Elephas maximus indicus: one gene and its partner. The protein of the gene in region 1 purifies or fractionates together with the protein of each later gene. This does not show direct contact. Links are inferred from orthologs where the notes say so. Each region holds a gene or a part of one and is shown in the gene's direction. Other genes may lie near its edges. The genes, in order: PPP1R7 and SH2D4A.

Region 1 (3,904 bases):
TCCCGGCCGCGGGCTGGGGGTCCGGCTCGTCGCGGGGCAGCAGCGAGGGCTCCTCGCGCCTCGAGCCCCTCGGCCGGCGCTTCCGAGCAGGCCCCGACCCGGCCCGGAAGGCTGGCCGCCTCAGCCCGCTCCGCACCGCGCGGCGGCCCGCGTCCGGCCCACCGGCTAATCGGCGACGGCCTCGCGCCGATCGACAGGCCGCGCGGGCCAATCACTGCTGCCGGTGGGCGGGACTCAGCGCGAAGCCCGCGCTGACGGTTGCTAAGGGACGCGCCGGACGCCCGCTACGGCACCCCGGAGAGGCCAAAACGGGCGCAGCGCGTCCGGCAGCCCGGCCGGCGCCGCCGTCTCCCGCGGCCTCCGGGTGCCCAAGGCTGAGCGGCGTCTCGTCCCCTCGGAGACGTCGACCCGAAGACCGGGCGCGGGGGCGGCTCCCTCCTCGGCCGGGGAGCGCAGCGGAGCGTCTGCCGCGTACGCCCTCTCGACCGCAGAGCGGGCGCGCCCGAGAGGAGACCAAGTGGGGTGTGGACGGCGGCCTGGGGTCGGCCTGCCTGCCTGACCGGCTCCTCCGCACCTGCACACCTACCCACCTGCCCGGCGCCTTAACGAGCGGCGACCCCTTCGCACGCGCTCCAGACGCCCAGAGAAAGTTGTCTTCCTGCCGCTCGGCCCATTTTACAGATGCGGCCAACGAGGGTCGCAGCAGCCGGGGTCCGCACTGCGCAGTGCGAGCCCACGAGGAGCTGCGCTCGGCCTGAGCCGTGGCCCCTCTGCACCTCGGTGGTCGGGACGGGGACATGAGCCCGGAGCCTGGAGCCCGTGCCAGAGTCTCCTCTCCAAACTGCCCAGACGCCCTCTCCGTTCGCCGCCCGCCACGGCTCCCCTCCGCCCGCTCCTCGCCTTCCGGCGCGGCCAGCTCCAGTTACCTGCCCCGGGGAACCCGAGGCTGGCGGCGCCCGGCCGTGGGCGGGCTCAGCCTCTTGCCGGAACCACAACTCCCATGGAGCGCCGGTGCCGAGAGCGGACTCGGCCTTTCGGAGGAACTACAACTTCCAGGAGGCGCCAGGGCTGCGCAGGCGCGTCGGGGCGCAAGCCGTGGCGCCGGGCTCCCATTGGCTGGGCGCCCTCTGCGCTGGGAGCCCTGATTGGCTGAGGGCTCTGAGGCGACAGATTCCGGAACGGGGAAGAGCAGCCAACATGGCGGCGGAACGCGGCTCGGGGCAGCAACAGTCGCAGGAGATGATGGAGGGTGAGTGGCCTCAGCGGGCGGGAGGCAGCAGCGGGCCGGCGTTGCCCCTCACCTGGGAGAAACTCGGCGTCTCATCTCCGGCCGCGGCCGCGGGGCCCCTGACAGCTGCCGGCAGGCTCGGCGGAGCGGGTGGACTCCGGCCCCGGGAGAGTCCCGTCCCGGGGGCGGCAGCGCGGGGCAGGCCCGCGGGAGAGCGGCGGCGAGAGCTCGGGGCCGGCGGGTGGGGACGGAGCAGGACGCGGTGGTTCACTGACCGGTCGAAGGTTGACAGGCGGAGAGCGGTCCGCGTTTGCTAGCGGGGAAACCGAGGCTCGGGGCTGTGTGACCTGCCAGAGTCTGCCCCTTGTTAACGGGATGGGGGGAGAAGGGTCCCCTCTGGCAAGCGACTGAATTGTGGCGAAGGGATGACAAGGAGCCGAGGAGTCGGAAGATTGAGTTTTAGAAGGCGGTGTCAGTTCTCAAGGCTTTCCTAGTTCCGAAAAAACTAAATTCAACTTCTTTTCTCCCCTTTCATTTTGATAGAAAACATTGTTTTTGTATACACACGTATACAGACGCACAATCGGGGAGTCAGTCATGTCTTTGCTTGCATGCTTTTGGCTTTGGTAGGTTGTGGGGTAGGAGAAGAAAGATCATTTCGGCAAAGGAAACCACACAGCCAAAGACAAAGGGGTGTAAAAGAACGTGACCTGTTTGGAGGAGAGTGTGACTTGGGGTGACGGTCATATGTGAGGAGTGGCAGGTGGTGCCAGGGAGGGACTTAAACCCCATTTCCGTCAGGTCGATTCCAACTCCTGTGAGGACAGAGTAGAACCGCCCCATGGAGTAAATCTTCAGGGAAGCAGACTGCCACATTTTTCTCTTGTTTAGCAGCTGGTGGGTTTGAACCACCAACCTTTCAGTTAGCAGCCAAACACTTTAACCACTGCACCACCAGGGGTCCTTTGGAGGGCACATGCTTTATTCATGAATTCAAAAACATTTATGTGCCAGCCTTTGGAAGCTTTGAGGCACTGTCCTGTGTCCACTGGCATCAGCATCAGTGACCGTCCACAGGCTTCTCAGTCTCTTAGCTGCGTTCTTCCTTTCCACCAGCGCTCTTGCCTGCCCATAGTCTGATTTGAGGCAGTCTTGATTGCTTTCAGAATTTGGACCTGTGAACTGGGCCACCTTGCTTTGCTGGGGCCACACAAATAGGGAACCAGATGGAGGCTGTACAGGGTCCACAAGGGTCTCCTCTGCAGCAGGCATCCAAGCCCAAAGCTGGAGGTGCACAAGGTGCCCTGCTTTGTTACCATGGGTACTCACTTTAGTGTCTCTGGCCCCTACCCTCAGCTTGCCCTGCCACTGGACATGGGGCTGGGACATGGACATGGAAGACACTCATGCTCATAGTCCGAGACTGAGCAGACTGTCTGCAGAAAGTCCCTTTGCTCGAGGACCAGGTGTGAGTCTGTCCTGTGTCACTCAGATTTTCAAGTGAAGTGGGCATGATTTCTCACTGTGTATGTGGCTTCAGTCGACAGGCGGGTCGAATCCGAGGAGTCAGGGGATGAGGAAGGGAAGAAGCAGAGCAGTGGCATCGTGGCTGACCTGAGCGCTCAGAGCCTGAAGGACAAAGAGGAGCGCAGCGAAGAGGACCCAGGAGGTACCGGGCAGGCAATGGCTGAGCTCGCCAAGGGGGGTCGGGAGGTTTGTGACCCTGGGTGAAGAGGACCCGAAGGTAATGGGTGGGCGACAGCTGAGCTTGCTGAGGGGGTCAGGGGAGGTGTGTGACCCTAGCTGAACAATACCTGAAGGTAACGGGCAGGCGACGGCTGAGCTTGCTGATGGGAGGTGTGTGACCATGGGTGAAGAGGGCCCAAAGATACTGGGTGGAGTGGCTGATCTCGCTGACGTGGCTGAAGGGTGTGTGACCCTGGGGAGGGCCACCATGCACCAGGACTGGAGATGTGGTTCCCAGGCAGCATAGAGAGCAGGTCCACGTGCCCTGAGCAAGCCCACTCCCTGAGGGCATCTGCCAGTGGGGATGGAGGCAAACCACTGCAGTGGAGATCTCAGTGCTGGTGTCTCATCAGGCAGAGCCAGACATAGTTTTATTAGGCAGACATTCAGAAAGTGAGGCTTGAAGTAAGCACTACAGCTGACGGCTGTGCTTTGAAGTTCTGTCATTGTGAAGTAAACTATTTTCAGAAGAGCAGTTTAGCATCTCTGAGAACTTATATGAGTCCTGCCTCCCCGTTTCTGTAGGCCTGAGGATCGACTCTGCGTTGCCTAGCTATTAGGAAGATCAGTTTATGTGGAAAATGCCCCAGTAGCCTCCTGTTGTTTGTGATTGACAGCAACAGAAGAAATGTAGAGATAAGTCCTCAGTCCATGACGGTGGTTCTCAGCCCTCCCAGCTGCAGCCCAAACCTTGTTTTTTGTCATTTGCTTGAAAAACCAGTATACGCTGAGCAGAGTAAGAGAAGCCACACGATACAGAAAGATGTCCAGGATCTGATATTAGTTGAAAAGAGCAAATTTCCAAACAGGATGCATGTTAAAATCTTATTTTTACTTTAGAAACAATAGTAATAACATGTAATTTTACTTGTTTAAGGGAGAAAAGATGTCAGACTATTGTGGGTCTCTGAGAAGGACTCATGTGACCTG
Region 2 (3,904 bases), on another chromosome or scaffold:
CCCTATGGGGAAGTTCTACTCTGTTCTATACGGTCACTTTGAGTTGGAATCAACTCGATGGCAATGAGTTTGGTTTTTGGTAGTGTGTAATAAAGGAGCCCTGGTGGTACAGTGGTTAAGTACTTGGTTGCTAACCGAAAGGTTGGCAGTTCAAACCCACTAGCCTCTCCTCAGAAGAAAGATGTGGCAGTCTGCTTCTGTAAAGATTACAGCCTTGGAAACTCTATGGGCAGTTCTACACTGTCCTGTAGGGTTGCTATGAGTTGGAATCGACTCCATGGCAACGGGTTTGGTTTTTTTTTTTTTCGGTTTAGTGTGGAATAATATGATTTAACATGCTTGAACACTTATCACTTGCCAGGATCTGTTGTAAGCTCTTTACATGTATTATTGCTGTCACAGCAATTCAATACAATAGGTGCTGCTATTATCCCAATGGGTAAACTGAGGTAAAATTGGTAGCAAAGGGAGACAGTTATTATAAAGAGAGACTTGTCAGGCCATGGAGAAAAACTTAGTGTGGAGGAAGGTAATTGGTTTTAACCAGTGTCCTACTGTCTGATAAACCACCCTTTAAAAAACTTCAAAATCCTTAAGTTTTAGGATTCATTTTGAGCTGGCCACATCAGCTAAGCATTGGCAAATCACACTCCAGCCTAAAGCCCCCCCCCCCGCCCCCCGCCAGGGCATTTATTTAATAAGCAGTGGGAACAGAACCAAATCAGGCCAGAAATTCTCCCCAAATAGGATTCCTAGAATGGGCTCCTAAACAGCTGGGTCATGTTTTCCATACAATACCCAGGATTTGCTCTCTGCCCATCTGCCCCTGCCCAAGACTCTAACTTTGAGAATCTTCTTCAGTCCGGAGACACTAGAAATGAGAAACAGTTTTATTTTTGAACCAGGCAAGCCTGGCTCCTGAATGTATCAGGTAGGCTGTGCAGGGGAGGAGAAACTGAGTGTTCACTGTTTATCTCTTCCCAACACACCTGCAATTAGGGTTCATCAAAGCAGGCGGTTTTTCTCCACACACTTTGAATGTTCCTGTGCCATGCCAAAATGCCCTATAATCTTTCCACTGTGCTTCTGCTGAACTTCCCTCCAAAATTCCCTTTTCCAGTCGTCTGTCAGCTCCTCCCTAGTGTCCTCACGCACCACCCTGACCTGTTCTTGCTGCATTCACAAGATTCCTTTACTTCCTTTCCTTTTCTCCAGTTTGCTTTCATTTCGTCTCCATTTCTCTCTTTTTCAGGCTCCATCCTCCCAGCTTTTCTGTTTTGGGAGCCTGTTCTACAAAGCCATACCTGTACTTACTTACAAGTGCCTGAGAGTTTGGTAATTTACTTACTGTCAACAAAACAAAGGAAGAAAGAAAGGAAAAAAAGCTCCATAGACGCAAGAACAGAACCCGGGAGGGTGAGCCAACTTGGCCTGCGGGACCCGGTCAGTGTAACTGAGAAGGGCCTATTGGGCCTCTGCAGACTCCTCCTTGCAAGAAACCCTGAACTTCGGAGTGAAGAAGAGGCTGGACCTGCTGATATTAATAAGTTCTGCAGGACCGGAGAGATGGCGTGGCAAGCCATCACAGACTACACACGACACCTCCAATTAACTGGGAGTGGAAGTGTGAAGGGACCCCACAGCAGGTAGGGGTCAGCGCGCAGGACAAGCCCTGCCTGGGATGCAGTAGGCAGCCAAGTCTCGCTGACAGCTTCCACTGGAGCCTCTCCTGGCGCACGGGTGGGGCCCCAAGTGCCCAGTCAGTCAGCCGGGCATGTGGGCCGCGGGTGGGGCAGCGCGGGCGGGCCAGGGCTGAGGGACGCTGTTTGCCAACATCACCGCCTGAGTGTTTGTCCAGCCAGTCTGTAAAGCTCGCGGGCGCCTTTGCTTTTCCCTGCCTCCCTTCCCGACAACTTCTGGAGGCCCAACTAGACGTGGCAGGTGCTGGGGTCCTCCTGCCCACGCGATCCCAGTGCCCTGAACAGGTAGATGCTGGGGGGGGGGGGGAGCAGACCAGAAAGGGGAGGCCTGGGAGAAGTGTGTGTGCGTGTGCGTGTGCGTGTGTCCGGAGTGTTCTCGAGCCAGACAGTGAAGGCCCGGGGACCGAGGGGAGGTGGGGCTGTGAGCGGAGGAAGGTCGGGGCGAGGCCTCGGTCCCGGCCGCGCGCCCTCCTCCTCCGCCCCCTTCCGTCCCGCCCCGGGCGCGCTCAGGTGTAGGGCCGAGCGGCTAGCGCAGCGGCGGCGGCTGGTGGACGGTGTCAGATGTCAGGTGTCGGGTGTCCGAAGCCGCCGGCTGGGTGAGCAGCGGCCCCGGAGGGCCGGGGGCTTGTGGTTCTAGGGGTGAAGCTAGAGGGGGAGGCCTTCGGGGAAGTTCTGGGGATCCCGGCGGGTGATACGTGTATTCGAGGGGTGTGTGAGCACACAACGCATGATTACGCACCGGGCGCAGGCGGGGCGCCTCGGGGTGGCCGGCGTGGGAGGATCTGGCGCTCCCTAGCTTTTGGACTCCAGCAGTAGAACGGTGCTGGGGAGCCACGTCTCTCTCGCTCTTCGCTCTGGTTCTGGGTCACCCGTCCACCTTATGACGTCCACCGCCACATTTGTGCGAACAAACACCCCGCGTCTATAGCACCATATTGACTTTCTCCTCGAGGAGATTTCTTGAGGGCTGGGAAAACTGTTTCTGCCGGCGCCCTACTCGGCAGTGGTTCCCGGGCGCGGCCACGTGGGATCGGTGCGCGCCACCTCCCTGGCCTAGGTGGGCCACAGGCTGCCGGCTTGGAAGGCAGAGCCAGGCACGGTGCCAGTGTGCTCCGGGTGGCCTTCCTCAAACAGGTGGGCACCCCTGCCCGCTCCAGCCGCGCTCCTTTCCTCGGGGTCCACGCACAAGTCTGAATAGAGGTGGGAGGGGAATTGGGAGACGCAGTGAGAAACCACGGTTTGTAGGTTTTCTGCTCGGCGTTGTGTCTCCTTGATCAAGGGTCTCGAGGCGGAAGCAACCCTTGCACCTGTCTCTAAACTTAGATTCTCCTCACCTCATAAAAGCCTGTTACAATTATTGGATACAAGTATTTTAAAAGTGAATAAGTATGTGGAAGGCATAATGTGGCCATAGATTTGTCATGAGTGGAATTCTCTAGGTAAACCCTTGTGTTGCAGTAAATTCAAATTTCCGAAGGCTGATATATGCTTATAAAACAACTTCCCAAATTGCTGTCCTCTCTGGTAATTCATTTTGTCCTCAAAAGCAGCCCCTTTACAGATTGAACAAGATAAGGGAATTTTGAAAATGGAAGTGGCTATTTTCAAAGAATTAGAAGTTAAAGCTCTATTATAACGTTAAAATTGTATTGCTCATACCACAATATTTTTATAATTTAGGCTGTTTCAGCCTTTTGGGGGGGAATCTTTGAGGGGTTCAGCGGCTGTGGCAGATGGGAGAATCAGATGAAATCTATGGACTTTATGGAAGACTGAATTGATCCTATGACTCTTTGGAAATTGGTTTTTGAAATGCATAGTAGGTGTGAGCTTATTGCTTATCTTTTCTGTCTTTTAGGACAAGTGCTGTACAAGAAAAAAACCAAGTTAGTTGAACTTTTTATTAGTCTTGAATAACTAGGAGTTGTTTGAATCATATCAGGGAATGAAAGTGGGAAAAACCCTGGTTAGTTAATTTCCTCATTTTTATTTCCTCTACCTTGGCTCCACTTGTGTCCATGGCGTCATACTAGATTATATCACATGTGGTTGTTGTTGGGTGCCACTCAGTCCATTCCGACTCATAGCGACCCTGTGTATAACAAAATGAAACACTGCCTGGCTCTAAGCCATTCTCACAATCCTTGTTATGCTTGAGCCCATTGTGGCAACCACTGTATCAGTCCATCTCATTGAGTGTCTTC

The links.
Region 2: the proteins of PPP1R7 (region 1) and SH2D4A purify together in Homo sapiens (affinity purification with mass spectrometry; 3 studies listed by BioGRID and IntAct, counting the BioPlex papers as one, with this or other methods). This does not show direct contact. The link is inferred for Elephas maximus indicus from reciprocal best matches to the Homo sapiens genes PPP1R7 and SH2D4A.

The regions. Positions count from the first base shown.
Region 1 is NC_064824.1:143,066,840-143,070,743, forward strand, and holds the start of PPP1R7 (protein phosphatase 1 regulatory subunit 7), read left to right. Parts: upstream 1-1,112; 5' UTR 1,113-1,197; coding exon 1,198-1,249; intron 1,250-2,768; coding exon 2,769-2,897; intron 2,898-3,904. UniProt on the Homo sapiens protein: Regulatory subunit of protein phosphatase 1.
Region 2 is NC_064840.1:56,716,380-56,720,283, forward strand, and holds the start of SH2D4A (SH2 domain-containing protein 4A), read left to right. Parts: upstream 1-1,225; 5' UTR 1,226-1,646; intron 1,647-1,816; exon of another isoform or gene 1,817-1,985; intron 1,986-2,209; exon of another isoform or gene 2,210-2,296; intron 2,297-3,904. UniProt on the Homo sapiens protein: Inhibits estrogen-induced cell proliferation by competing with PLCG for binding to ESR1, blocking the effect of estrogen on PLCG and repressing estrogen-induced proliferation. May play a role in T-cell development and function.